Linked DNA regions of Coturnix japonica. The protein of the gene in region 3 interacts with the protein of the main gene of each other region in a biochemical or structural test. Links are inferred from orthologs where the notes say so. Each region holds a gene or a part of one and is shown on either strand. Other genes may lie near its edges.

Region 1 (4,185 bases), on a different chromosome or scaffold from region 3:
GTTTCTGTGGTTACATATATTGCAAATTACCCTGTTGTTTATCCTTGTGAAGTGGTGGATATGAACATAGGGAAGGTGATTTACACGAGCTACAGGCACGTAGAATGCTTTAGCAAAAGCAGGGCAGTGTTTGCTGTTTTCCTTTAGCAAAATGCTCTCTACAAAGAGCCTGCAGTGCCCATCTGCAGGACAGTGATACAGGCTGTGTGGAACCATGAGATGAGCAGTTTGAAAACCAGAATGACCGCTGTGGATAGTGATTGCTGGTGAACAGAGCCTCACACCTGCACAGGCTGCATTACACTTGGTGCTGAGGAGGTGCTCCTTGGGGGCAGCATTGAGGAGCAGAGTGTGATTCTTACCCTGGAATGGAGGGGAAATATTTTCCACCAGGGATTGATACTGAGCTGGCTTAAATTCAGCTCCATAATTGCATTTAGATTCTGTCCTTTTCTTAACTATTTCCTTAAAGTAGCAGTTTGTGTTCATGCAACCTTTTTGCCCATTCAATCTTCCTTACTAACCGGAGCTGTGGAGCGAGGCTGTAGCCTCGCTTTCTGGGCTCTCATTGATAGCCTGAGCCTTTCTCCACCATTGCCTTTCTCAGTGCTGTTCTGATCTTTGTCCCCTGGTGCAGGCAGTGTATGGGGTGCTCCGGGTCATGGAGGGGCTGGAAGCCTTTGACGACATGATGGTTCACACCAAGATCCAGCCTTGGTACCAGCGCATGGAGGAAGCCATTCAGAGAGCTGCAGCCTGATGCCACCTGCAGCCTCCTTCCTGAGATACTTGCATGGGGGAAAATCCTTAAGAAGGAATAGTGTTTTATCTTCTAACGAGTTGAACGGACTGATCACACCTCTGGAACTGATGTGCGGGCACAGACTGTGCTGTTCAGAGCCCTGAGCTGCGGGCAGAGGGATCCTGCAGTGTGTGAGTGAGATGTGAGAAGGATGGGGCAGGACAGGAGGAGTTTGGGGCACTGCGGGGAGGAAGCAGCTCGGGCTGAAGAAGCACTGAGCAGACTATAGGTGGGAGCCGTGCTCAGAGCACAGCACTGTAATGCAGGCTGCTTGCTTGGCTACTAGTGTTACAGCTGCATCTGGTCCGATCGTTCTCAGCAGCTCTTGCTTCAGGCTCTTCCTCCATTCGTCCACCCATCTGTTCTGCTGACTGAGACATTGATGCTGGACTTTAAAGACGAGTTCTTCTGTAATAGAATCGGGGTGAATCCCCGGTGCTGGGAGAGCCCCCTTCAGCCCTTCCTTTGCTGGGCCGTGGGCTGTGGGCGCTGTGCTCTGGTGTCCGCTGTGTGAGGATAAAGGCTTCTGTGACGCTGTGCGCGACTCGTCGCTGTGGAGACGGGGCGGGACGGCGGGGCGCGGGGCGGCGGGGCGCGGGGCGGCGAGCGGCGGCCGAGGCCGGTTTGAACCGCCCAATGGGGGAAGTGCGGGCGGCGGGGCGGCGGGTCCGGAAGTGCGGCTGCATCTCGTGCCCGTGGTGCCCACACGGCAGCGGGGCGCCCCGCCGCAGCGCCGCCGCCAGCGAGGAACATCTGAAGCGGCCACGGTCATGGAACGCGCTGGGCAGCTCGCGGTGAGGAGCAGGGGGAGCAGGGGGCGGACGGGCCGTCGGAACGCGGCGGGGAGCGGCCCAGGGGAGCGCGGCCCTGGTGCCCTGAGCGCGGGGCCGGGAGGGCTCACGGGGCCGGTTCGCTGCGCGGTGCCTCTCGGTGACGATTCTCGCTTCCAGTTCCGAGCTGACGTAGCGGTCCCTTGAAATGAACCATCACCCCGAGCTGTAGCCCTGCCTTGTCCCGCGGGTTGTGGCCGCTCCTGTGCTGCCCGTGGAGCCCAGCCGGCAGTTACCCGTTGGCAGCGCTGTGTTCAATTGTAGGAGAGCTGTGGTGCTCCTGCCCGGCTGCTCAGGCCGCTGTTTCCCCACCCGGTGAAGCTGTGGCCATGGCTTCGTGCCGAGCTGTTTCCCTGCCCGGTGCCTGTTATGCTGTGCTGTGATCAGAACCTGACGTTCTTCATATCGATGTGCCCATGTTGGTTTCACCCCGAGCAGTGTATTACACCCTGTCAAATCAATCACGAGCTGTGGAGACTCATCTGAATTCTGTTCTAGCAGCGGTACAGAACAACATGACACTTTAAGTAACTCTTGTACCGTATCCCCTTGTGCAGCAAGCTTTGAGGCAGTGTTTCCATAAGGTCAGCAGTGAAGCCCTTCGTGCTGCAGCTCCAATAGCTCCATATACCCATTGGACACAGCTGTCCCCACTCGTTTCTCCCGGTCCCATCAGTAGGAGGCAGCAGCTCACACTGCTCTCAGTTCAGGTCTGTGGAAGGGGCTGGTTGGCCAGCAGTGTGTTTGTGTTTGCTGGGCTGTGCAGCACCAAGGACTCGTGTTGCAGGCTTTTCTGTTGCAAGCACTTATCAGAGGAAGCAACAGCACGCTGACTTTTGTTACTTGAGTTCATACAGGATATATTTGAGTCTGTGTGTTGTTGCCTTTGTTTGAAAGGAAGGGAATGTTGTGAGATTGGCACTGTTCCCACCAGTTGGTCCCGATGGTCCTTGTGGGTCCCCCTTCCAACTTGGGACATTCTGTGATTGTGTTGTTTCTGCATCAGGTTTTCTTCATCCATCAACAATGAAATGACATCAGTATCTGCACAGAGCACAGTGTCAAGAGGATCTAAAAGCCTTAAAATAACCGTAAGTAATTATACCTGGGCTGACAGAACTCTGCTGTTGTACTGAAGAATCCTTACCTCAAGGGAAGATTCACACCTACACTGATTTCTTTAACCTCGTGTCTCTGGGCTTTTCTGTGCTGGGCAATTAGTGTGTGAATTTGTACCTGTGTGCATCACAGAGGGAAAATCTGAACAAGGATCCAAAGGCTTTTAAGCATTGGTTTGACTTCAAGAATTTGAAGTTAAGCACATGTGAGAGAACTTCCAGGTTCAGAGTTCCAGGGTGGAATGAGCTGTTTGTTTCCTGTTGGTTTTTCTAATCCGAGCTGTTAAATTAATGCTCTTTTCCTCTATGAGATTTCTATCCAGACTCTGGTGTTAGTTACTGAGATCCTTGATTTGCTCGACTGTTCTGATGCTTTGAACGCCAGTGACTCTATTGGTTCAACTGCGTTTGTTCTTTAGTGGCCACAAAAAGTATTACCAGCAGAGAAATGATTTGTGTTAATAGCTTTACAGCATAATGGCATGCACTTCAGAATGGCAGATGCTATTGAAAGACAGCACATGCTTCAATCAAAACTGGCCACTGTTGCTCTCTGGCACAGAGGGAAGTGTTGTTATTTCCAGTTTCCTTATTCACAGGTTTCCTTTCATTGTATTGCCCTTTCCCGTCTGTGGGAGAAGAGCCATGAAGAACCGTTCCTCATCTCCCCCTTTGCACGTCCATGTGGATGAAAACACCCCTGTCCATGTCCATATTAAAAAGGGTCAGAAATCCACACCTGCAAAATGCCAGGTAGGAGTGTGCAGCTGGGTGTTTGTGAGGGCTGCAGGGAGGAGGCAGTGCTGGCAGCACCACAGAGTCGTTGAGGTCTGTTTTACATAGCATTAGAACTGAGACCTGTTGCCTTTTTTGCTGTGTGTAACCAGTGGTGAATTTTCAGTGATGTGTTTTCTGTGTTTAAGCTGATTTCATTATGCTATAGAATATATGGCTTGTTTTCATGTTTACTTCACTGACTGGGGCTGGATTCGATCATCTCTAAGAATCCCTTCCAGCCCCTACAATTCCATGACTATGAGAACTGTTGCTTTCAGTGTGATGTAGCTTGGGGGATTTTTTCCTCCTATGTCCTAGATTTGTATTCTCATAGTGTTATTTCTTCAGCTTCATCCCTGTATTTGAAGGAAGGGTTTGGGGTAAGGAAGGAACTGAATGTTCCACATTCTGTCTTGATTGTATTCAAATTAACGTGTTTGGAAGAAGAGGGGCTGGATTCAAACCATCTTCTGGCATTAAATACCTTGTCAATCTGCAGAGCTACACAGGATCTCTTCATACCCTTGTCCACAGTAGACAGAAGGCAATACTGAAGCTGGGTTGTAGCTGTCTTGTATCTCTTTGAAGTTGGATGTTTGTGTAAAGTTTTTCTCTACAAATAATGGAAGTTGCTGGCTCATTCTTATATCTGCAGACA
Region 2 (4,274 bases), on a different chromosome or scaffold from region 3:
TAGGAGAATGAGGCTCCTTGGAGAGAATAGGGTGCCATTGATAGACTGCTATCTTTTCATCCCCAAAAAGAATAAATTCTGACAAGTGCTTCCAGACATTGGGGATAGGTGTTCTGATTTGTCATTTTTTTTTAGCAGAATGCTTCCTTTTCTTTTTCAGAGCATGCAAAGATAGCGATGAATGGGGAAAGGTATTGCAGCTTCCTGTGTCGGGCAATAATTTATGTGAGAATGCATTAAAGGGTGTTTTCAAAGGGCAGTGGACATGCCCAGAGCTGAGAAAATTGGATCCGGACTGTGACATTGCAGCTCCTCAATTAGAACATTGAGACGCCTCTTGCTTTAGGAACAACAAGAGTAAAGCTGAGCTTCCAATCTCGCCTGCAGCCCCTCGCTGCTGCTGCTGCCGGTGGGAAAGCACTATTTGGGAGGTAGGCACACGGTGCACACAAAACTTGTTTTCAGCTTTTGGTGCTTGAAAGTGTGTAAATACAGAGAGCCACTGCTGTGCCGCCGCAGTCCTTGAGAGCCTCCAATCAATACTGTGCAGAACAGATCCAGTGCACGGCAGAGCTGCGCTCAGATAAAGTAACGTTACATTGATCAGCACTGATTTAATTGGAGGCGAGCGGCGCTTATTGATTCAGTTGTCAGGCCGATTCTACAGAGCAAGCATTGCACGGACTGCGCTAGCAACCTTTTAGTTAATGGTATCTAAAGTAAAAGCTTTATTAAATTATACTCAATTTTAGATACCGATATTATGCATCACTTTAAATCACTTCGGGCACCGCTGCTGCATCACCAACACACAGCTGACCCCACGCCGTGCACACGGGTGGTGTTTGCTGGGTGTCACCATGCCTCGGGTTGGGGCAGCGCTGCTGTAGCCTCTGGTCCTACAAACCCCCCGCAGTCAGGTGGCCGAGGTGGTACCGTGAGTGAGTGCGGGTGCCATCAGGGCTGCGTGCGGGCTGGGGGCGGCCGCCTCGCCCTCCCCACCGGGCAGAGCAACGCTCGCATCCCCAGCGGGACCGGAGCCGGGGCCGGGCCGGGCTGTGCGGCGGGGGCAGGGGCTCCGTACCGCAGCCGCAGCGATTGGCAGAGCCGAGCAGCGCCGTCCAGGAAACGGCTCGGATTGCAGCTGGGGGAGTGACCAGGGGAGGAGGGAGGAAGGAGTCGGAGGAGCGTGCGGAGAGAGAGAGAGAGAGAGAGGGAGAGAGAGGGAGAGGGAGGGCGAAAAAGAAGGAAAAAAAAAAAAAAAAGAAAAAAGAGGGGGGTTGTTGGACTGACAAAGCTGCGGCGGCACGGGGAGGGCGGCTGGATGGAGCGGAGCGGGACCCGCGGCGATGCCCGCGCGGGGGAGGAGGCTGCTGGCGCCGGGCACGGCGGGCTCGCCCCAGTGAGGCGGTAGCGCCGCAGCGCAGCGAGGGGACGGGACGCCGGGCGGGCTCCTGCATCGCCGCCCCGCCGCCGCCAGCCCCGCATCCCGCGGGGGATGCGCCGCGTTGCCCTGCGGGGCCCCCAGCCCGCCCCGCCGGGGCTGCCCGACGAGTGAGCGCGGCCGCGGAGCCGACCGGCTTCAGGTAATGGCACGGCCGGGGGTAGGGAGGGGAAAGGTGTTGGGGGGGAGTGGGGGCAAACCCGAGGAGGGGAGGGCTCGCGGCGCTCCCGACGGGACGGGGAGGCTCGGGATGCTGTCTGCGGTCCCGTCCGATGCGGCGAAACCTTTAGGGGACGGTGACAGCGGGGCTGAGAGCAGCTCAGCCCTCGGGAGCTCCCCACGGAGCGATGCTCGGCGGAGCGGAACCGCCCCCCGTCCCGCACCGGGTAAAAAAAGAAATCCGCGGTGATATATAGGTTTAAATGCAAAACGGCTCGTTCAAACAGTGAGCCATTATGCGTTCGGTGTGAAACGCTATCAACATTTAAAACTTCATTGTCTCCTTTGTACCAAATCCCTGTAAATCTTCCACTAGCCTTTACTCATTTTCATCTGAAAAGCCTGTTTGGGCTGAATAGACAGCAATCAACAGCCTCTGGACTTCTCTCTCTCTCTGGAATGTCAATTAAAATGCAGATCTTTTTTTTTCTCTTCCCCCCCCTCCTCATCTCTTAGTGGTAAAAGACTTGAGAAAAACAGGATAGTCCTGGAAAGCGAATGAAAGAAGTTCAAACAATGCGAAAGTACGGAGGCTTGCCAGCCGGTTCCCATTAGTCCTCCAGAATTAATGTTTAATAGCTGTGATGCTCAGATTTGCTCGGAGATTGAGCGGGGATGGAGACGCGTGCGTACGTATGTCTGCATCTCCGTATAAATAGGTGTCAATATTTAAGCCCATATGCGCTCGTTGGGGAGCTCGGTGTGCTCGGATGGTTGTAGGGAAGCTGCCGGGTGCTGGCATTGGGGGAAGCTCCGTATTTCGTTCAGATTTCGCTATTCCCTGCCTTAATAGAGAGCGCTGCTAAGAGCTGCCCGATGAGCAGCGTATTGATTTGGTTAACATGCTGTACAAATTGGACCGTCCCCGGGGAGTGATAAACATCTTATAAACAACAATGGGAGTAGATTAAAAAGAACACTGAGCGTTGAATTTAATTAATGCCACTGCTGAACAAGAACTACTTGTTTGCGAGCGAGTGTGCTCAAAAGTGGAGGAGAGCTCGGAGGAATTTGGTTGGGCTCCCAAACCAGTCTGCGTTCCCATGCTCGTCAGTTTGGCACAGAAATTTGGGCAGGTATGTGACGAGGTGAAAATTGACTTGATGAGCGAGTGGCAAGGAGAGCCATCAATCATTGGGGGCTGACAACTCCTCCCCGAAGTGTAGGCTGAGAGGAGAGACAGAGTTCCCTTTCAAGGGGAAAAATAAACACTACGTGTGGCTTTCACTGAGTCTGAGACTCCAGGAGGGATTATGGTATTGTAGTCAGGAAGCCAGAATTGTGGAGGCCAAAAAGCATGCTGGGGCTGTGTTCCAAACATTGAGATAGAGGTACATAATTAACCAGCGCAGGAGGTCCTTCCAGGGAGCCGTTCCCCGGCGACTGTGGCCATCAAACTATGAAAAGAATTTGGGTTCTTTTGGTCTTCGTTGGACTCCGTTTGGTTTGGGAACGGGCAGCGTTTGGACCGTGGTTGTAGATTTGGGTTCTGCGGATGGGCCCAAAGCTCTGAGTGTCGCTTTGCTGCACCTTCTTGAGCCCAGGCTTTGAATTTGGTGTTACCCTGCAGGGGAAGAGTCCCTCCGTGCTGCTGTTGGATGCTCAGTGCAGGAGCTGGCAGCCTCCTCCAGGTGAGCAGTGCTGCCATTCGGGATGGGCACACGGCTCTAAATGGCATTGAATGCAGCCTGGAAATCCTGTGCTGCTGAAATGTAGGTGGGATTAATGCTGTTTAGAAAAGAGTCTGGGATATATGATAGCATTCTGGTATGTTTTCTTTTTGCGAAAAAATATGGTTAAGCTTTGCATTTATATACGTAGCCTTTAATCAGGCTTTACGGGATGATTTATGGAAATTAAATTAGCTTTACCTCCAGTCTGTTAATTAGGATTTATACCTGCTTTACAGCTGGATAAACTGTGCTGTGGGGCTGTGAGTCAGAGGCTGAGACCCGTCCTCGGGACAGAACTTGGGCTCCACACCTGCATTGCCCTCTTGTAGGGAGGTGCTCTGTGGGTTCTTCCCCAGTGTCTGTGAAGTGGTCTGGCTTTGGTTCTGCTGGAGGTGGAACTGTTGTGTGCTTGTGGTGTCGTGCTCTGCTTCAGTCTCTAAAGGAGCAGCGGAGCATTGAGCTGGGATGGGAAACGCTTGCCCCAGAGAGGCAGAGGTTCACCTGAAATGCTGTGTCTGAACCCTTTACCCAATTGGATCTCTTCTCAAATCTGCTTCTGCAGAGCCTGGGGCTTCCAAGGATGCCCCACACACACCTGTCCCCATTTCTGGGAGCTGAGTTCAGTTTCCAGCCCTGAGTGAGAGGCTGAAAAAGTCTGAATACATTCCTTAATGGTTGGCTCCATAAAGGCAGAACATGTGTTCGTTTTGCTGAGTTCTACATGCTGTGGTACCATAGCTCAGGCTTCTTTTTTTCCCCCTCTATTTAAGGATGGGGGCAGGAGGGGGGAAAAAAGAGGTTTTATGCAATTCTTTCCCCAAGATCAGTGCTCTCTAAGCTTCAGTTGGGTCTCATTACTTCTAAGATGAGTTATTGGCTGATTTGAACAGCTTGCTTGATTTATCCATCGACAGTGGTGTGCCACCTTGTATTTTGGG
Region 3 (2,930 bases):
TGTGATTTGCCAGCTGTAGGGGTTCTTAGTGCAGCAGATTCAGTGGCTTCTTGGTGAGGTGGCAGTGCCCCTTCCCTGCAGAAATCTGTGTTAGTACAGGAGGGATTGCAGCAGAGAGGGTGGGCATCCAACACAGGATTTGCTCAGCTGCCAGCAGTCCCCATTACATAGTGTATGTGTGCAACTCCCTCGTTTCTTTTGCAGGAGAGGAGGGGATATCATCGTGATTGGACTGGAGAAGGAATCGGGCATGCAGCGGGGCCGAGTGATCGCCGTGCTGAAGGCCGGGGAGCTGGCTCCCTATGGGTGAGGCTGAGTTGGGCACCGGCTCCCAAGGGTTCAAGGGGATGGGTTGCAGAGGTGAGGGTGAGATGCTGTGACCACAGCCTGGTCTCCAAAATTCACCTGGTGCCCTGTAACGTGATGGGCAGAGCCCGGTGTCTGTCTGATCCTGCCTGCTGCTGCCTCCAGGTACTCGGAGGGCAGCGGCACCTGGCAGGAGATGGTTGGAGCTTGGCAGGCTCTGGCCCTGTGTTAGGAACAAGCAGTGTATTTATGCAGAGCGCAGCGCTTGTCTGTGGCTTCATTCATGTGGATCAGGTTGAAGTTCTGGCTCTAAATGAGCACCTTTGTGCTGTCGGCAGTGAATGGCCAGGGGACGGCTCCGAGAGCACAGGGGAGAGTAGTTCTATACATTAATGTAAAGGATTTCATCCAGCAAACGAGAGTCCAGATAAATAAATAGCTGCTGGAGAGATGGGGGTGCTCCTGCTGATCACTTAAATACCAGTCTGGGATTGTACTATTTATGTCCAAACAAATGGAGGTTAAGCACTGCTAAGGATTATAAATGACCATTTATTACCACTGGGCAAACACAGCGTGAGATCAAAGCACTCCTGCCGTTCCCTCGCCTTGTTCACTGAGCATTTTTATCAGTTAGTTGAGAGTGGGGCATTCTTGGCTGTAGGTTTGACTTTTATTTTACCCAACCGTTAAAAACAATTAGGAGGAAATTAGGTGCAGAGCCACGGCCATTGGGGCTGCCACTGGCTCACCTCACAGCATTGCTGTGCCATGCCACCCACCCCATCCAAGCCCATCACTCACATGGGCTGGTTGGCTGCTCTGGATACACCCAACTGGCTGCAGGGATTGAACAGATCAGGAGATTATCAGCAACTTCAGAACGTTGCAGCAGGTTTATGCATGTAGCTTCACGTTTGGGCACCTGAATCCCTTACAGAATCTTTTCCCATGTCACTGAACTGCTTGCTTTTGCCACGCTGTGGTTTCTTGTTCCTCCCTTTGCTATGCTCTCCCTTCTCAAGGATTTGCAGCTTATAAAAGGAGATTCACCAGCTGGAAAGGAGAGCCTGTGAATCAGTGCCTCTGGGATTAGCGGGCCCCGCTGCTTAGTGGGGCTGCAATCCACCCTGATGCCATTCTCTGCTCTTCCTTCCCCAGGACGCTGGTGGATGCTGCTCTCGTAGCAAAGGACACGGTTGTGTGCTGCTTTCAGAATGAAAACACCGAGTGGTGCCTGGCTGTCTGGAGGGGCTGGAGTGCCAGAGACTTTGACGTTTTCTACCAGGCCTACGAAGAGCTGGGACGGCTTGAAACTTGCATGAGGAAGAGGAGGTAGTGCTCGTGGCACTGGAAACCGAGGGCTGATGGAAGAGGGGAAGCGTCCTGCCCTGAGCATGCAGCCCCACACGGGGAGGGGATGGGGTGCACAGGGACAGTGTACCACTGTTTGCTGCTAAGGAGCTGCATGGGGTTTTGGCAGCAGAGCCCAGCAGGGCTCTGGGGGCAGCCCAGCAGGGGCAGGATATGGGCGCTGGGCGCTCTCTGTGCAGCTGAGTGCAGGAGGTGGCTGCAGCTCGGGGAGTGAGCGAGCTATTGAATTGCACTCCTGCAAAGTCAGTTGTAAAATAGAGCTGATACAAAGCAAAGCCACTTGGGCTGACAGCTACTTCCTGATGGGAGAGAAGGGAGAGCTCTGTGACCAGGGAAGCCCATAAGCTGCCTTTGTTCTGCTCCTCTTTCTCTGGGTAACTACACTCTGGAGTATCAGGAGCACAATAAGTTTCATTTGCCTGTGTATCTGCTCAGCTTCCGCCGCCGCAGCTTTTAGTTTGTCTTCATTAGTGGCCCAGGATGCTTTATGGGCTCTGAGTTGCACTTCCTAATTCCGAGCATGTACAGCGCTGTAAAAGGAGCCTGGCTCCGTGCCCTGTGTAAAGGTGTACAGTTTGGACATTTTGTTGTTTTTCTATTCCAAGAAACTTCTGTGAGCATCGGCTGCGCGGGCCGAGGCCGTGCGGGCAGGTCTGGTTCATGTCCCTGTTGCAGGCTGCTACGACACACTTTGTCTCTAAAGAGGGGTGTCTTCAAATAAACAGATTCCTCCCTGCCTTGGCACTGTGACACAGGCACTTGTGGTGGGTAATCTGCCACAGGGGTTCGGGTTTGCAGTGTGTGGTTGTGATGCCTGGCACCCACTGGTGCCTTTCCTTTCAGCTTCTTTGCAAAACCAGTATCTGTAAGAGCCATAATGGCTCTGCATTGCCCTGAGCACCCCAGGCACAGCTTCATGCTCTGCACCCCAGGCTGGGCTTTGTGCCTCAGCTCCAGCCCCAACCTCAGCATCACCTCAGTGGGCACAAAGCTGCCTTTGTCCCGCTGTTACTGAGCATGAGCACCACCGCCCACCCCAGACACATCGTAAAGTGGCTGCTCTGGAAGTCCTGCTGCTGGGAAAGAGGGAGCTGAGGGGCTGGAGCTGCTGGGAGAGCTGATGTCGCTGGGAGCGAGTGCATCCCAGTGGGCAGCAATGGGCTGGGAGTGTGAGATTAGAGCCTGAAATCTGCTTCTCAGCACTCTTGTTCCCATAACCCTGGTGTCTTGTCTGCTGCTGGAGCTTGGTG
Region 4 (4,161 bases), on a different chromosome or scaffold from region 3:
GTATGGAGCATGTGATTACACACACACAAAACACAGGCACGTGATTTATTTATCACAGTACCTCCATTTGTCAAATAATAATTAAAAGGCAATAACACAGCTTGTTTGTTATAAAGGGCTCCTGAAGATTTTCTCCTGCAGTAAACCAGTAAGAAAAGGGCAATTATTCTGAAGTATTACACTATTACACGTTTTGGGTTGTTAGCTTTGAAATGAACTCACTATCTGGAACTCTTTACAGCCAATCAAATGCTCCATTTCTTTGCACATTTCACAAGTTCAGCCCTTCCTTCCTAGTAAAATGTCTTTTCAGAGGCGTGATTGTCTTTGTTAAGGCAAGAATAAACAGATGACAACTGTAACACAGAGAAGACATGTCTGAAATGGCTATACAGAGCAAACCCGAATCCAAATTGCCTGACAGGAAGGTGCTCTCAGAAACATAAAGGAGGAAAGGTTTTTGTGCACTGTCAGGGACAAGTCCTGGAAAGCCATGGCAGAGAGAGGCTGTGTTTGTCCAAAACCATCTCAGCAAGTGACATTTGAGCTTCCACACCCAGACAGATGTGACCTGCATCCCCCCTGTGTGCCCATCCTGGGCAGGGGCTGCAGATGCAGGATGGAGCTGCAGCGCTGTTGCCAGCTCATGTATGGAGCTGTAGGAGGATGTTCAGAAGCAACTCTAATTAATGAGCATTAAAAAAGTGAAGGCGTGTTTCGGTATCCTTTCAACCTGGAGCTGATGCTGACTGGTGAGGAATAGGATTGCTGTGCTTGCAGTTCATTTGAAGAAGGCACCTTGAAACCAGTGCAGAAGATGCAAATGAAAGTGCAAGGAAGGAAAAGAAACCAGAAGGCCAAGAGACAGGCAAGTGAACAGAGCAGATGGATTTAGCAGACTCGGTATGCTTTTGTTGTCTGCATTATGTGTGGAAATCTATATTCTAACTGTCACTGCAGCAGAGCATATTGTAATGAAGCAGAACTGCTGAGGCGTCAGCATCACAGGTGCTGGCTTTTGAAGACAATCAAAACAGAAAGCAGAACTCTGAAAAAACTCACACCGAGGAGTGCAAAGAAAATGCTGGGCGATGTTTTGAAGTAAACACAGCTTCTCTGCTTATCACTGCTCTCTGGGTGCTGGAGGGCAAATAAACAGTGTGAATCTTGCTGAAGTGGGCTGAAAAGCAAAGGCTGGCAGCAGGCGGGTGCTGGGTGTGTGTGCCCCTAACCCAGGGCTGGGGGAAGGGTTCTCCACGTGTTTTGGGGAACTGCAGCCAGAGGATCCCTCCCCTGGGTGTTCTGGGAGGGTTTGGCCAACATGTGAGAAAGGGAGGGGAGAGTTTGAAAACAACCCAGCCAGCGTTAAGGGAGGAAGAGAGCTGGGAAGTGACCTGCTCGCCTCTCTCCCAGCAGTTTGCTCCAGGTGGGAGGGCAGGAAGGAATCCCAGCAGTTCCTGCGTGGCAAGGCACGGCGTGGCACAGCGAAGCTCCCAGTGCAGGTAACCTGGGCTGCATGCGGATACACTGCAGCTTGCATGGGAGCTGGGCACTGGTCAGGAGTTGGGTTTGGTTTTAGGTTTTTTTTTTCCTTTTTTCCTTTTTTTTTTTTTTTTTTTTTTTTTTTTTTTCTTTTTTTCTTTTTCCTTGAGTTTGAGCTGTAGATGGGAAGGGGGGAGTGAGATTCTGCCCTCTTGTTCTTATGGAGATTGAGTGCTGTTCATACGGCCAGGGAGGGAAGTGGGAAGGAGCAAGCTGCTCCCTACAGCCTGGAGATTAACGTGAGATGAACCATGTCTCTTTACCATGCAAGTTTTGAGGCAAAAAAGGCAAAATGATTATATATTTGAGTAGTCTGTTTGATACAACAGCAAGACACCAGTAATCTTGCATGCACATCAGTCCTTTTTCAGGTCTTAGTGTTTTAGAAATCAGAAGGTTTGTACTGTCAAATCCAGACAAGGTTTTCAGTGGTTGATAGTCAGGCTGCTAATAGAAACATGCAGCAGAAGAAAGGAAAAACATGCCATTTCCTTGTCTGGAGGTGTGCTGGTTGGTTCAGGAGCTTTCCTCTTCTTCTGATTGAATCAGACAGCTTTTGGGCCCTAAATTTCACCATAAAATCCTCCAGTAATTTTACAGAAGGCTTTAGAACAGGTAGTAGCAAAGGGGCAGGATGCACTGAGGTGTTATTTTGTGGCATCTTCTCTTGTGCAGGTTCCTGTTACTGTATCACCGCACCTTCAGTCATCTCTCCTGGCTGCAGAATCATTCAGCTCCTCTGCTGTCTTGCTGCGGGGAAGCTGAATTCCACAGTCTTTGTTAATGGATAGATTCTGTTTTCCGCATCTCAGTGATGACAATGTAGCGTCACATCCCAGGCAGCCAAGGTGCAAAGAGAAATTAGGAATTATTGTTTGATTGATGAGCGAAACAACATCCTTTGAGGCTGCCCCTTATATGAAGAAAGGCTTATGTGAGCACGCTAAGCTGTCCTGCCTGTAACATGGCTGGAACCCAGAGCTATCACAAACAAGAAAGATTTTCTTTCCATCGTGTCTGGTGGGGGGAAGTGTTTATCACTAAAAACACAGCAATCACGGCTCACAGTCCTTTAAGAGATCACTGTTGTTTTGGTTCTTAAACTTCCTTCTGATGATTCATGCCGAGCAGGGCCAATAAGTGAACTCAGAAGCTCTTACACAAGGGGAAGTTTGGCTGCGGTTCAGACCGATCTGGGGTAGAAATACATTGGAATAATATGTAAAAAAAACCCCAGAAACAACAAAAGTCAGGCTGTAACGTTGTAATTCCCTGGCTGGCAGCTGAGGAACCCTGCAGTGCTCAAGCACTGAGGCAGAACGGCTGCTCAGGGCACCAAACATTGCTGGGCTCTCAGCAGGAGCAAACTGTAAGGGAAGAACAACGGCTCACAGAGCTTTGAGGAGGGGCTGAGTGAAGGCAGAGCACTTGACAATAAAACAGGCTGTCACCTGTAATCAGGTGCCTGGCCTTAGGCGCTGCGTATAGAATAAACAGGGTTAGTGCACACTGATTTGAAGCAGAAAATCTGGGAGGCAGTGAATGGGTACACATGGGTTGGTTACGGACGCATGGGCTGGTTAGGGGCACATGGGCTGGTTATGGACACATGGGCTGGTTATGGACACATGGGTTGGTTAGGGGCACATGGGTTGGTTAGGGGCACATGGGTTGGTTAGGGGCACATGGGTTGGTTATGGACACATGGGTTGGTTATGGACACATGGGCTGGTTATCGACACATGGGTTGGTTATCAACGTGGAGGAACGTGTGTGAGCAGCTTTCCTCACAGACCCCACAAAAAGCCGCCTGCTTTGGGGCAGTCGTGGTGTGTTCACGAGCACCTGTGACACCCACACAGCTTAGGAGGGCCAGAGGGGTGCTGTGTGAAGCGAACAGGGCCCGACCCTTCCCTGTCCCCAGTTGGCAACGCAGAAACGCTGCACACCCCCATCCCCCTTCCCGCCGACACGGCCGCCATGTTTCCTTCCCCCCCGCCGTCCCTTTCCTTTCCCTCAGGCCGATGCCCCGCCCACCCTCCTCTCCCTCCGCCCTCCGATTGGCTGCTAAGGCGGGCGGGATTCAGCCAATCGTTGGCTCCGCTTTGCGCCGTGTCGCTGGGGGGAAGAAAACAAAAACAAGCAGAGACGCAGCGCGGGCTGGGGGCGGGGCCGGGCCGAGCCCAGTGCAATCGAACCGGCCGAGCTGCCGCTCGTAACGGTCCCACCTCGGCGGCAGGGGCTCGGCAGGCTGCCCGTAGGCTGCCTACAGGCTGCCCGTAGGGTATCTGCAGGGTACCCGGGGCCGAGCTGAGCCGCGGTGTGGAGCGGCTCCCCGGACCCATCGCTGAGGTAACCCCTGAGGGGGCGCTGCGCGTTGTGGTGGCGCTGGGCCTGAGGCGCGGGGCGGGCCCAGAGTGGTGCCAAAGGCGGCAGCGGGTGTGAGAGAGAGACGGGAGGGAGGTGCCGAGCGGCTCCGTGTGGTGTAATGCAGTGAGATAGAGCCGGGAGTGAGCCGAACCGTGATAAAATGGACGGGTTGGAATTAGAGCGGGGCTGGGAGGAGGCATCGCGTAGGGGGAGGTTCTTCACTAGGAGAGTGGTTAGGCCCTGGAACAG
Region 5 (3,609 bases), on a different chromosome or scaffold from region 3:
CCTTGCTTGGGCCACATCCATCCACACGCAGCGTCGCCCAGCTTTATTTCCACGTCACTGTCGAATCGCTGAGGAACCCAGTGGGCGCCATCAGTGGTGCAGGATGGCAGCGAGGGGACAGAACCAGGGCACGGCCCAGCCCCATTCCATCCGTCCCGGTGCCGCCGACGTCCAGGCCGTCCCGTTGCCCTCGTGGTACTCCATCTCTGCCCGGGCCTGGTGCAGTGCAGCTCCAGCCGCCGCCCCAGCTGCCGCCGCCGCCGCAGCCACACGCAGAGCCCCGCCGTAGCGTGGCAGGCCCCTGTGGCGGCTGCGGGCAGCCCCCCGTGCCATGCCGCGTGCAGCCCCCCGGGAGCCCCCACGCCCGCCCTTGGAGGCAGCTGGCTGGCAGAAGGTGGCAGCAAGCAGCAGCAGCACCCAGCAGCAGGCCACGCGCCGCCTCATCCCGCCGACCTGCACACAGGGGGGCTGTGCTGTGGGCAGGTGCCCACCTCACTGCGTGCACACACGTATGTGGGGTGTGAGCAGTCACATCGTGCATGGGCTGCAGACGTCACGTGCACCAACACGGGCTGTACAGGTACGCGGGCAGCAACGAGGTCTCCTTATGCCTTGCACATGCACCTGTGTGTGGGATGCATGGTCACAGCCTGCATGTGTTGTGCTACATGCACCAACACGGGGACTACACGTGTGCCACATTCACAACACGCATGTAGATTGCACTGACACATGGATTACACGCGTCACATGCACCACAATGTGTGTTACATTCCCCGGCACATGAGGTGCACAAGCACATGGTCTGCACGTCTGCCCTATATGCCAACACACACGTTACATATGTTGCATAATACACGGACCACACATGTATGTTGTATGCACTGATACATGTATTACACACACTGATACATGGACGGCACGTGTGTCACACACTTCAACACACGTGCCACATGCACTGACACCGGGTTGCACAGACAAGTGTGATGCTGTCCGTCCCGCTCACACGTGCCGCATCCCGCTGCACGCATTGCACGTCCGCACGCACCCCGCGCTGTGCGCAGCCCCTGCACACCCGTGCACAACCCAACGCACCTCACGGCACAGCTGCCCCCGCCGCCTCCCGCTCCCACGTCCCGCGTGGGCTGGTCTCGTCCCCGCCGTGCAGCCCCGGTTCACGCTCCTGCTCCGCTCCCGTCCGCTCCGCGCTGTGGGCACGGGGCCGCGCGCCCGCGGGCGACGTGAAGCGCGGACACGCGTGTGGAGCGGCGGGGCGGGTCCCGCGTGTGCCAATGGCCGATCCGCAGTGCGGGGCGCGGCACAGCGCGGCGATGGGCGCGGGGCGGAGCGAGGCCGCGGGGAGGGCGGGCAGTGTCCGCGCAGAGACATGGCGGCCCCGCTGCGCGCCCTGCTCGGCTCCGCTGTTTGCGCCGGTACCGCGCGGCACCGCGCGCTGCTGAACGCACTGCGCCCCCACGTGGCGGGGCGGGGGTACAGCCACGGTGAGCGGGGGGAGACGGGACGGGGGAGCTGCGGGGCGGGGGGCACCGGGAGCCGGGGACGGGCAGCGGGAGCGGGCCGCGGTCAGAACAGCGGCACCGAGCGGGGGAACCGGGAGCCGGCACCGCCCGGCGCGGACACACGGGTGAAGGTCGGCCCGCAATGGCCGCGCAGGGGCCCCGTTCCGCTTCGTGCAGGTGCAGAAGGTCGGGACGGGCGGCAGCGTGGGGCTCATCCGGCTGCACCGGCCCGAGGCGCTGAACGCGCTGTGTGCGGGGCTGATGGAGGAGCTGGGGCGGGCGCTGGACGCCTTCGAGGCCGACGGGCAGGTGGGAGCTGTTGTCATCACCGGCAGTGAGAAGGCGTTTGCAGGTACGGCTCCGGCACCCCGCGGTCCCACCGCCCCACCTCCGCATCCCCACGCAGCCCTTTGGTGACCCCGTGCCTTCCCCCCTGCAGCCGGCGCTGACATTAAAGAGATGCAGAACAAAACCTTCCAGGAGTGCTATGGCAGCGGCTTCCTGGCGGGCTGGGACCGGGTGGCCACTGTCCGCAAGCCCACCATCGCTGCCGTTAATGGCTTCGCCGTGAGTGCCCCTTCCGTGTCCCCATGTCCCCGTATCTGTGCTGCCGCTGTGCCATAACCCGTTGTGCTTGCAGCTGGGTGGCGGCTGTGAACTGGCCATGATGTGCGACATCATCTATGCTGGGGAGAAGGCACAGTTTGGGCAGCCTGAGATCCTGCTGGGGACAATCCCAGGTGAGCGTGGGGGCTGTGTGTCCCCGGTGGGCTGGTGACGGCCACGTGCCTGCTCCCAAACCCAACACCCCATCCCCAGGTGCTGGGGGGACGCAGAGGCTGACCAGGGCGGTGGGCAAATCACTGGCCATGGAGATGGTTCTGACTGGGGAGCGGATCTCAGCAGCGGAGGCCAAGGTGGCAGGTAGGTAGGGGTGTGGGTGAGGCTGGGGGCACAATGGGGGTCCCCATATCACCTCCCTGCTTGCCCCCAGGTCTGGTCAGCAAAGTCTTTCCCCCGGACAAGCTGGTGGATGCAGCCATTGGCTGCGCTGAGAAGATCGCTGCCAACTCCAAGCTGGTGGTAGCTATGGCCAAGGAGTCTGTCAATGCTGGTACGGGGTGAACTCAGGGATTTGGGGTCCAGATTGAACAGTGTTCCCATCTCCTCATCCCTATCTTTTCTCCATCTCCAGCTTTCGAAACAACACTGACAGAGGGGAACAGGACGGAGAAGCGCCTCTTCTATGCCACTTTTGCCACCGTGAGTACAGGGCTGGCCCTGGACACACAGGGAGAGTGGGGCTGTGGGCCGCCCCAACCCATTCTCTGCCACCAGGACGACCGCAAGGAGGGGATGACTGCGTTTGTGGAGAAGCGCAAGGCCAAATTCACTGACAGCTGAGCTGCAGAACCTGCGGACACTGATTGCCCTTGTCTGCCCTTTACCACCCATGTGCCTCAAAACGAAGGATGGGCCCATTGGCACTGCAGAGGGAGCCAGCGCTTGGCATGGAATGATGCCCACACTGGACATGATCCCCAGTAGGGTTTTGGCTCGTTACTGCTATTAAAAGGCTTTCCTGGTGCTGCTGGTGCATCATCATTGTTGTTAGGAGCCTCCACATTGAAAAGCACTGGAGATGGCTGAGAGCCTTTAAAAGAGCCAGGCCTTCCCATGGGCTGAATGGGAGCTGGGGTGACTGGCTGAGTCCCCTGGCCTGCTGGACCCCCCTGTTCCTGTCAGAAACCAAGCACCCACCTGCTGCTCAACAAGGAGAGGTTTATTGGGGGCTCATGGTGGGGGCAGGGCTGCAGCCTCCCTTAGCTGTGGTACAGGTGGTCACGGTCCTCTGAGGGACCATTTTCCACCTCTGCCGACAGAACCATGCGTGCTCTGTGGAACTGGGGTTCAGGCTCCACCTCAGCCCTGTCCGAAGGGTGATAGAGATGGTCACGGTCCTGCTCTGGCCCCACCTGGACCCGAGCAGGGTCTGGAAGGAACAGAGGCCGTGAAGCAGTGTCCTTGGCAAGCCTGGCTTTCTCCACTGCCTGTGGAGCCTGGATGCTGTAAGAGAAGCAGAGGTGGC
Region 6 (3,500 bases), on a different chromosome or scaffold from region 3:
TTTCATGTACCCACTCCACACAGTGTATTTAGTTGGATAAGGCAACCTCGGAATGCTGAGTGTCATGAATGGAATTCCACTTTCTGCCCATGTGGATCCTAAGGAGGATGTGAAGTGGCCACATAAGAAATGTGTCACTTGCTACCTGTGGGCAAAATAGAGGGAAACTGAGGTGAAAGTGTTGTACAGCTGTTGAATGTTTTCTGCTGGATGTGTTCTTCTGGTTGTTAGAAGAGTGGGAGGTGACCATGCAGCACGTTAGAACTGGATTACAGGCGTGCGTGTGTCTAATTTTCTGTTACAGTGATCACAGCAGTAATTCAACGATTCTGTGGAAAGCAGACAGTGAAGGTTGATTTATTTCACCATTAAAATCAGCCTCCCAACTTTTCATGGTATTTTAGGAAGTTAGATCGTCATATAAGTAAACAAGAGACAAAGCACAGCTTTGTAGGAGAGGGGAGACCAGAGAGCAGACACGCACAGACTCGTGAGCTGTGTTGTGCTGGGAAGGACCACTGTGGCCAGTTGGTTTGGGCTCAGAGCACGAGGCCGGCAGCAAGCCTGCCACGCTGGGTTTATTCAGTTGACACACTCAGGCTTGTGATAGTATGAAGAGCAGCATCCTGTGATGCCTTGAAGAAGGAGGGAGAGCAGCCAGCATTTTGGGGGCAGTTGGACAGGGATGGCAGGAGCAGGGTGGGATTCCTGAGGGAAATGCGGGGTGCTGGGTGGAAAGCAAGAAGCCTCATTACAAAAGAGTATGCGTGCTCCCGAAGTTGGGGTTGAATCAGGGTGAACAGTGGGGTCTGTGGGATGATATCGGGGTGAGCCACAGGACCTGGAGGCAGCTGGGTGACCTGTGTGCCTCTGTGTCTCTTCCTGTAATTACTGCCTTGTCTTTGCATATGCATGTCTTAAGGAAGATGATGACCTGGAAGACATCGACAGCTTGCTGGAGAAGATTGAGGATACCAATGGACTATCACAAGAGACCCAGAGTGGAATAATTGCAGACAGCAGGCCTCTGCTCTACATAGAGCACAGGTAGAGCTCGCTTTCCTTCCTGGCTTTGAGTGTGACAGAAGTATTTGTATACTGAGGAAGGGAGGTGGAAGCCTACCTATGTAATCTGGCCATAAATCCAGAACCTTATGTGAAAGGAGTTATGGTAGCAGTTGTACACAGCCCCATTTCTGACTACTGCTCCTAAAGCTGTGCTCAGTTTTTAGCAGCAATGAGTGTTCTCTGCTGTCCCATCTGCAGTGGGTGGCTGGATCAGATGACCCCCAGAAGTGTCTTTCAGGCTAAAACTGTTGGTGACTCTGTGTTGAAAACTGTTGGTTGACTCTGCCTCAGCACATAAAGCTTTGAAGCCAGACTATTCAGGCCAATACACCAATACATGCTGCCCTTCAAGGAGGGCTAAGCAGTACCAGCAACTAATTTCACCAGGAATGCTTGTTAGACTCGTCTAACCTTTCCCACATGTGACCATTAACAAAGTGGACTAAGTGCTGGGCATGTCCACCAGCTGAGGAGGCTATTAGCCTCACACTAGACATCTGTAACATCACAGCCTGGATCAGCAGCTTCTGTGTCCAGCCTGTCTCAGAGTTCTGGGTTAATATGGATACTGGCAGCTCTTTCTCTTCTGGGAAAAGAACTTGTAGGACTGAACAATCTACCACTCAGGGTTCTGAAACCTCCAAACACACTGCACCAAAACAATCTAGGCCAGTGGGTTCTTCTTGCTAGTTTAGCTAGTTTTCCTTTTAATAAAGGGAGGGATGTTTGCTTGCCAAGATGTTTTCGACTTCAGTGAATTCTCTGGTCAGGTGAATGTTATTCAGAAACCTTTGAGAAGTGGATAATCTCAGAGTGGGAGTGAGTTGGCAGTGCTGGATCTCAACCTTCCCACTCCCTATCTTCCTTTGAGCCTTTCTCACTGGATGACAGAGAGAAACCCCCCTTAAATGTGCCTCTCTTCTCTGGGCCAAATGTTAGATGAAGAAAACTGTAGGTGTTGTCATGCTTTGATGTACAATCTTTGTATTAAAAGCATGTATTTTAAGCCTTGCCAGCCTCCATACAGTGGTTAGGGTGCTTGCCTTGGGTTGCAATCCGCCACTGATAGGCTTAGCAGCAGTTATCTCGTGTTTTCCAGGTGCAAATACCCCAAGCATGTTTCCCTGAACGAGGCTGTCCCTGGGAGCATGCCAGGCTAGGGACCCATCTGTCCTGGAGAGGGCAGCAGTATTCCCTAGCTCACTGTCTTTAGAGCAGTGTACAAAGGAGCTGTGCACCTGATTGAACAGGGCTTTGGATACCTCCTGCTCTGACCACTAACTGTTCTCCTGGTGTGCTGTGTCATACCAGAGGGGTGTGTATGTGATAGTTCAGGAGTTTGGCCAGGGATGGTTTTTGGTACAACATACCTGGCTTTGTTAAAAAGGAAAAGATTGCAAGATTTTTGTCTGTTTAACTTTTCTTTCTTGTTTCAACATTCTCAGAAACTTGAATCCAGAGAATGAGTTGAAGAGATACTTTGGGGCTCGTGCTGTTCTCGGTGATCAGAGGTTAGTCCAAAGTTTAATAGTAAAATTTTCTGAATTTTGAGTTGCTGTGTCTGTCCTTGCCTTGGCGTTGCTTACTGAGTCTCTGGTGCTATGCCTGTGCTGGGAACCCAGGGCACTGCAATGTGTTCATGGGGTCTTACTTATTTAGTGGTCAGAAGAATATTTTTGGGGCTGTGTGTGAGAAAGGTGTAAGGTTTCTTCAGACTTTACCTAGTAGTTCCTTTTTCTTTTGCTGGTTATTTTAACCCCCTCTCCCATGTACTGTCAAATGCCCTTATCAAATCTTTTTGTTCAGATTCATAGGCTATTAGGTTCTTGGTCCTATTCCAGCTTTTGTTTCTTGTTATTATTCTGAAGTCTCTGTCTTAGAGTAGACCCTGAATACTTTCCAGGTAGTCTCATAAGCTTGCTCATGTAGGCTCAGGGCACCAACTGCTGCTTAGGTGTAAGATTTCTGTGCAATTACTCATTGCTTTGTCATTGATGTTATACAGAAAATCCTTGGTTTTGAGGGCTGGTTGGTAAATGTGCACAGAAGAATGGTATAAGCTCGGGGTGGTGATGGTGGAAAGGGAAATCTGTGATAGGGTCTGTAGATGAATTAGACTCCTCCAAGGAGAGACTAAAGCAAAAGGTGGCATCTAGCACTTGAGGAAAAAGAAGCAGTCCCTGACTAAGGAGATGTGACTTCCTTAGAATTGCCTTGATTTCTGAATTCCTCTTGCTCTGAACCAGAAAATTGGTTCCACTTATAAATACAGCTTAAACTGAATCAGTCAACACTTGGAGGCCCTGCTGGGAAAATATGAGTCAGAGGGATATGGGGCTCTCTTAATTGGGCCTGGGAAGCTTTTTGAAGCAAAGAGGCAGCTGAGAACTTGGCAAGAGTAAAAACAAGGGAAAGAAACCATTGAAGTGGAA
Region 7 (4,199 bases), on a different chromosome or scaffold from region 3:
CCGCGCAGTCCCTGCCCGTGCCATCGGTACCGGAGGAGCCCCACAGAGCCCCGCTGTGGGCCGGGCTGTGAGCCCAAAGCCTTCCCGCAGGCAGCAACCGACTGACTGACAGAGAGCTCGGCTTTCTGAAAAATCAAGTGCTGTGAATGGGATGGCTAAAAGGACTTTTGTGGAGGTTAAAGTATTTCAGAATTCATCTGCAAGGACTGAATTTCCTAAAGAAGTTAAGAAGCTGAGGATGCCCTGTCACAGAATCACAGAATCACAGAATGACCCGGGTTGGAAGGGACCTCAAGGATCATGTAGTTCCAACCCCCCTGCCTGGCAGGGCCACCAAACATACACCTTTACTAGATCAGGTTGCCCAGGGCCCCGTCCAACCTGGCCTTGAACACCTCCAAGGACGGGGAATCCACAACCTCCCTGGGCAGCCTGTTCCTGTCCCTGGAGTTGCTAAGCTAGGTTGGATGGGCAGCCTCCTGGCGGTGCTGCTCCTGCCTGTGGCTGGGGTTGGAACTGGGTGGGCTTTAAGATCCTTTCCAACCCAAACCATTCCGTGATTCCATGGTTCAGTCAATGGGATCGGGGAGCAATCAGTTCCACATCATGTGATGCTTCTCGCCCACAAACACTGCTGTGCGTAAGGGTGCCGCAGGCTGAGGGCACACGCCTAACATGGAAATGTTCTGTGCATCCTGGCACCGCATCTACGTAAAAGAAAATGCTCTTGTCCTGTGGTCAGGTGCATTTGCATTGAAGTGCTCCAATGCTAACAGTGCAAAGAGAGTAAAGGGAAATACTCTTTCACCCAGGTGAGAGTACATCAACATATTTTTAACTATGCACACAACTACACGCAATGCGCCTACAGTTCACCCTTCCTTAGAAATGCCATACATAATGAAAATTATGCAAATACTCAGAAAAACGCCCCAGCCCAAATCAGGCCCGTACCACATCAGACGCTTCCACACACGCACACGCGGTGCTTTGGGGCACTGCCAAAGACGACCTTTCCAAAATCGCCCCTTCAGCATCACCGCCTGGAGCAGGGCAGGTACCTGCCCACGGACACCTGGGGAGGGCAGAGCTTGCGGGAGGACAACGACCTCGGCTCTTTACCAAGGAAAAACGTTATCAAGTACGCGCTCCCCACGCAGCGACCCACCGGTCGGCAGCCAGAGCCTGCGCGACCGGCCACGGCCCTTCCTCCTGCCTTTGAGCTCTCCCGACCGCCAGGGCTCGCTCCTCTCGGCTCGCTCCTCGCACACGTCCCGCCCCGCGGCTGCCTCGCCCCGCTCCGCCGCTCCGGGATTTCCCTGCAGCCCGCCCCGCCGGCAGCGCCGCCTCCCGCGGCTCCCCACGCCGCGCCCCCGGGACTCGGGGATCCGCCGCCGCCCGGCCGCGCTGACGGGCGCTCGCAGGTGCCGGTCACGGAGGGGCGGCCCCTCTGCCCGCCCGTCTCCGCGGCGAGGAGCGAGGAGCGGCGGCAGCAGCCGGCAGAGCCGTGAGTGGGGGAGTGGGGAGGGTGGCTGCCGGTGCGGAGCTCCGAACAGGGGTGGCCTCCACTGCGGGCGGCGGCGGCCCCGCAGCGAGCCGGGAGGGAGAGAGGGAGGGGAAGCGTTTCGGAGGCATTTATCGATGAATCCTCGTGTTGGGGTGTAGTTCTGCCTGATGGCTGGGGGTGTTTCTGCATCGCCGTAATTCAGAGCTTACGTTCGTCCCCCGATAATGGGTTTACATTGTCTCTGCTGCGGGTTTCGCCGGTCCCTATTTCCCGTCCTGTGTCGTAGGCGCAGCCCCGCACCGCGTCTGCGTTTTGTGCGGGGTAAACCCGCGCATCCCCCCGGCCCTCCATCCGTCAATCCGTCCATCCCTCCATCCCTTCATCCCTCCATCCCTCCATCCGTCCATCCCTCCATCCGTCCATCCGTCCATCCGTCCGTCCGTGTGCACCTGAGCGGCGGTCGGGAGCGGCTCCCGCTGCCCGCAGACAAAGAGTCCCGGCCGGGAGGTGCGGGGCGGTGCGGGGTTCGGCCGCCGGTGGAGAGCAGTGGGCGGCAGATTGAGGAGAGGGGCTCTTTGCGTCCTCGATGGAAACGTAAAAAAAGAGTGAAGTAGAGGAAGCAATTAATTTAGGACTTGCGTCACCATAGACTGTTGTTATGCTTTAAAAATAGGAAGAGGGCTTATTATGAAATGCTTAATGAAAGGAACGCGATCCGGATCTTTTCCTTTGAGAAGCATCTGGATGCAGGAGGCGGATTGAGTGCCCAGGAGTGAAATTGCTTATACACTGAGCAGTATTCTCAGTTATGTATAGATCATAAATATGTAACGTGGTTCAGGGAAAACTGATGCTTTAAGGTACGAGGATCTAAAAGTGAGCGAGAGCGGCAGCAGAAATGCTGAAATCCGCATGTGGTAGCTCAGATGTTTGGAGGAATGACAGAGCTACCAAAAAAGGCATCGTGATGCTCAGCACAATGCAGGAACAGCATTTTCTCCTTCCCTACAGAAAAGGAAAGCGTGATACTGGCAGCAAGAAGTGACAGATGTGGCATCTCAGCAGCTGGCTGAACATAAAAGCGTCTATCAGCAGGTGATTGCTGTTGCCAGGATTTATTTTTAAAGTGTTTTGTTCTGAAAGGGTCCAGCCTTTGGGAACGTCAGCATTAAGCTTCACTTTAGCTCTTTGCCGTGTTAAAAATAGTTTTTCAGCAGAAGCATTCAGAAAAGTAACAAAAAATCCCTATGTTCAAGGCATTCCTTGCTTTGAACATTTGTTTTTTATTACAGCGTTCAGGGGAGAGGAACTGAGCAGGTTCTCTGGTCGGTAGAATAACACTGAAAGGAGTCGTTTTTTTCCTGGCCTCAGCATAAGCCAGCAGTATCTGCAAAGGAAACAATGGGGCCCATCTCCTCCTTAGATGAAAGATAGTCCCAACTCTTGTTGTCTCAGCAGCACCTTGTACATTTGTAGGAGTGAAAATCAGGCTGCTGAAACTACTTGTCCCTGTAGTCCTGCCTTCTTCAGTGATGTGTGGAGCCAGCCAGCATCGCCAGGTGGTGGCCTGGTGCCTTTGGAAATGAAGGAGATGGTATCTCCTGACAGGCAGCCTGGAGCCACACGTTCCCTGGGGCAGCGTGGCTCTGCACCGCGCCGTTTGACTGCTGTCACACTGACTTCAAAGAGGTGTTTCAAACTGTTCCAAGCCACTGATAGAAGCTTTGCTGTAACCAGAGAAAGCCATGTTTCGTGGCAAAACTTGTCTTGTTCTCAGCTTTTCGTAATTACGTATGCTGCTTCGGTTTATAATCTTCTAAGCCAGGTGACTCCTTCTAGAAGAAATTCTGGTCCTCTGCCCAAGTCTTGAGAAATAGTTTAAGGTAGGGGAGGGAATTGTGCTGGTATTTAGAAAGAAATTTCCTTCTGCATGTAGAACTTGCCTTCAGGTTTTCTCTTCTTCTCCTGGTGCGGTATCCTTGGGGCTCAGAGGTGCTCATGTTCCTCACCCTCACAGAGACAGTTGCCGTAGATCCAATCCAAGTCACGTAGAGCTCCTTTTGGCTTTTGCATGCAAATATATGCATTTTTGCAAATGTACACAAATGTAAGTTTGGAAAAACAAGCAAAAAGCATCACTTCTCTACTTTTTTTCCTTTTCTTATCTCAATCACAGCAGAGTCAATAGCTTTTGTCAAGATTGAAGCCATCTCAGAAGAGCTGTCTGGCTGTCCCTCCCAGCAGTACAAGGGAACTGACTGGGAGGGCTATGCATAACACAGCCCCACCAGTACAGCGCTTACAGGGGGTTATTTGACTGCAGGTCTACCTTGATGGTTTTAGTGTGTGACAGAAAGGTACCTTTCCCAAATGTGGATAAGAAGAGCACGGTACACAAGTGTGAGATGGTGAACTGCTTTTAAAGGACTTCTCACTGCAAAGCAGCTTAGTTAATAGCCAGTGAAAGCATGCAGGTGGTACTGATGGATATCGCTGGGTAGATTATCAAGAGTGGATGTGAAGCACCACCAAGCAGGGAAGGCTTTTTTGTGAAGCTGGATGGCAGAAGTAGGTGCTACAAGTGAGAAGGGCCCAGGTAATGCTCATGCTGAACAAAAGGTCTATTTCCAGTGCTGTGCTAAATAGGAGAGTTCTGGATGACACTCCTGAATATAATTCTTACATAGAGTAT

The links.
Region 1: the proteins of LRRK1 (region 3) and ODF2 form a complex in vitro, tested with the Homo sapiens proteins (2 studies listed by BioGRID and IntAct, with this or other methods). The link is inferred for Coturnix japonica from reciprocal best matches to the Homo sapiens genes LRRK1 and ODF2.
Region 2: the proteins of LRRK1 (region 3) and FGFR2 form a complex in vitro, tested with the Homo sapiens proteins (2 studies listed by BioGRID and IntAct, with this or other methods). The link is inferred for Coturnix japonica from reciprocal best matches to the Homo sapiens genes LRRK1 and FGFR2.
Region 4: the proteins of LRRK1 (region 3) and PDCD4 form a complex in vitro, tested with the Homo sapiens proteins (2 studies listed by BioGRID and IntAct, with this or other methods). The link is inferred for Coturnix japonica from reciprocal best matches to the Homo sapiens genes LRRK1 and PDCD4.
Region 5: the proteins of LRRK1 (region 3) and ECHS1 form a complex in vitro, tested with the Homo sapiens proteins (2 studies listed by BioGRID and IntAct, with this or other methods). The link is inferred for Coturnix japonica from reciprocal best matches to the Homo sapiens genes LRRK1 and ECHS1.
Region 6: the proteins of LRRK1 (region 3) and TCF25 form a complex in vitro, tested with the Homo sapiens proteins (2 studies listed by BioGRID and IntAct, with this or other methods). The link is inferred for Coturnix japonica from reciprocal best matches to the Homo sapiens genes LRRK1 and TCF25.
Region 7: the proteins of LRRK1 (region 3) and CDC42EP3 form a complex in vitro, tested with the Homo sapiens proteins (2 studies listed by BioGRID and IntAct, with this or other methods). The link is inferred for Coturnix japonica from reciprocal best matches to the Homo sapiens genes LRRK1 and CDC42EP3.

What each region holds. Positions count from the first base shown.
Region 1 is NC_029532.1:3,840,242-3,844,426, forward strand, and holds the start of ODF2 (outer dense fiber protein 2), read left to right. Parts: upstream 1-1,385; 5' UTR 1,386-1,438; coding exon 1,439-1,596; intron 1,597-2,638; coding exon 2,639-2,723; intron 2,724-3,349; exon of another isoform or gene 3,350-3,395; coding exon of another isoform or gene 3,396-3,503; intron 3,504-4,185. UniProt on the Homo sapiens protein: Seems to be a major component of sperm tail outer dense fibers (ODF).
Region 2 is NC_029521.1:27,586,014-27,590,287, reverse strand, and holds the start of FGFR2 (fibroblast growth factor receptor 2), read left to right. Parts: upstream 1-1,474; 5' UTR 1,475-1,586; intron 1,587-2,646; exon of another isoform or gene 2,647-2,739; intron 2,740-3,106; exon of another isoform or gene 3,107-3,294; intron 3,295-4,274. UniProt on the Homo sapiens protein: Tyrosine-protein kinase that acts as a cell-surface receptor for fibroblast growth factors and plays an essential role in the regulation of cell proliferation, differentiation, migration and apoptosis, and in the regulation of embryonic development.
Region 3 is NC_029525.1:15,897,719-15,900,648, forward strand, and holds the end of LRRK1 (leucine-rich repeat serine/threonine-protein kinase 1), read left to right. Parts: intron 1-204; coding exon 205-306; intron 307-1,467; coding exon 1,468-1,645; 3' UTR 1,646-2,430; downstream 2,431-2,930.
Region 4 is NC_029521.1:23,080,020-23,084,180, forward strand, and holds the start of PDCD4 (programmed cell death protein 4), read left to right. Parts: upstream 1-1,361; 5' UTR 1,362-1,502; intron 1,503-3,679; exon of another isoform or gene 3,680-3,894; intron 3,895-4,161. UniProt on the Homo sapiens protein: Inhibits translation initiation and cap-dependent translation. May excert its function by hindering the interaction between EIF4A1 and EIF4G. Inhibits the helicase activity of EIF4A. Modulates the activation of JUN kinase.
Region 5 is NC_029521.1:5,960,971-5,964,579, forward strand, and holds ECHS1 (enoyl-CoA hydratase, mitochondrial), read left to right. Parts: upstream 1-1,361; 5' UTR 1,362-1,387; coding exon 1,388-1,502; intron 1,503-1,674; coding exon 1,675-1,872; intron 1,873-1,959; coding exon 1,960-2,087; intron 2,088-2,160; coding exon 2,161-2,260; intron 2,261-2,339; coding exon 2,340-2,444; intron 2,445-2,514; coding exon 2,515-2,634; intron 2,635-2,715; coding exon 2,716-2,783; intron 2,784-2,858; coding exon 2,859-2,924; 3' UTR 2,925-3,109; downstream 3,110-3,609. UniProt on the Homo sapiens protein: Converts unsaturated trans-2-enoyl-CoA species ((2E)-enoyl-CoA) to the corresponding (3S)-3hydroxyacyl-CoA species through addition of a water molecule to the double bond.
Region 6 is NC_029526.1:16,780,093-16,783,592, forward strand, and holds part of TCF25 (transcription factor 25), read left to right. Parts: intron 1-922; coding exon 923-1,047; intron 1,048-2,513; coding exon 2,514-2,579; intron 2,580-3,500. UniProt on the Homo sapiens protein: Component of the ribosome quality control complex (RQC), a ribosome-associated complex that mediates ubiquitination and extraction of incompletely synthesized nascent chains for proteasomal degradation.
Region 7 is NC_029518.1:28,587,374-28,591,572, reverse strand, and holds the start of CDC42EP3 (cdc42 effector protein 3), read left to right. Parts: upstream 1-1,399; 5' UTR 1,400-1,507; intron 1,508-4,199.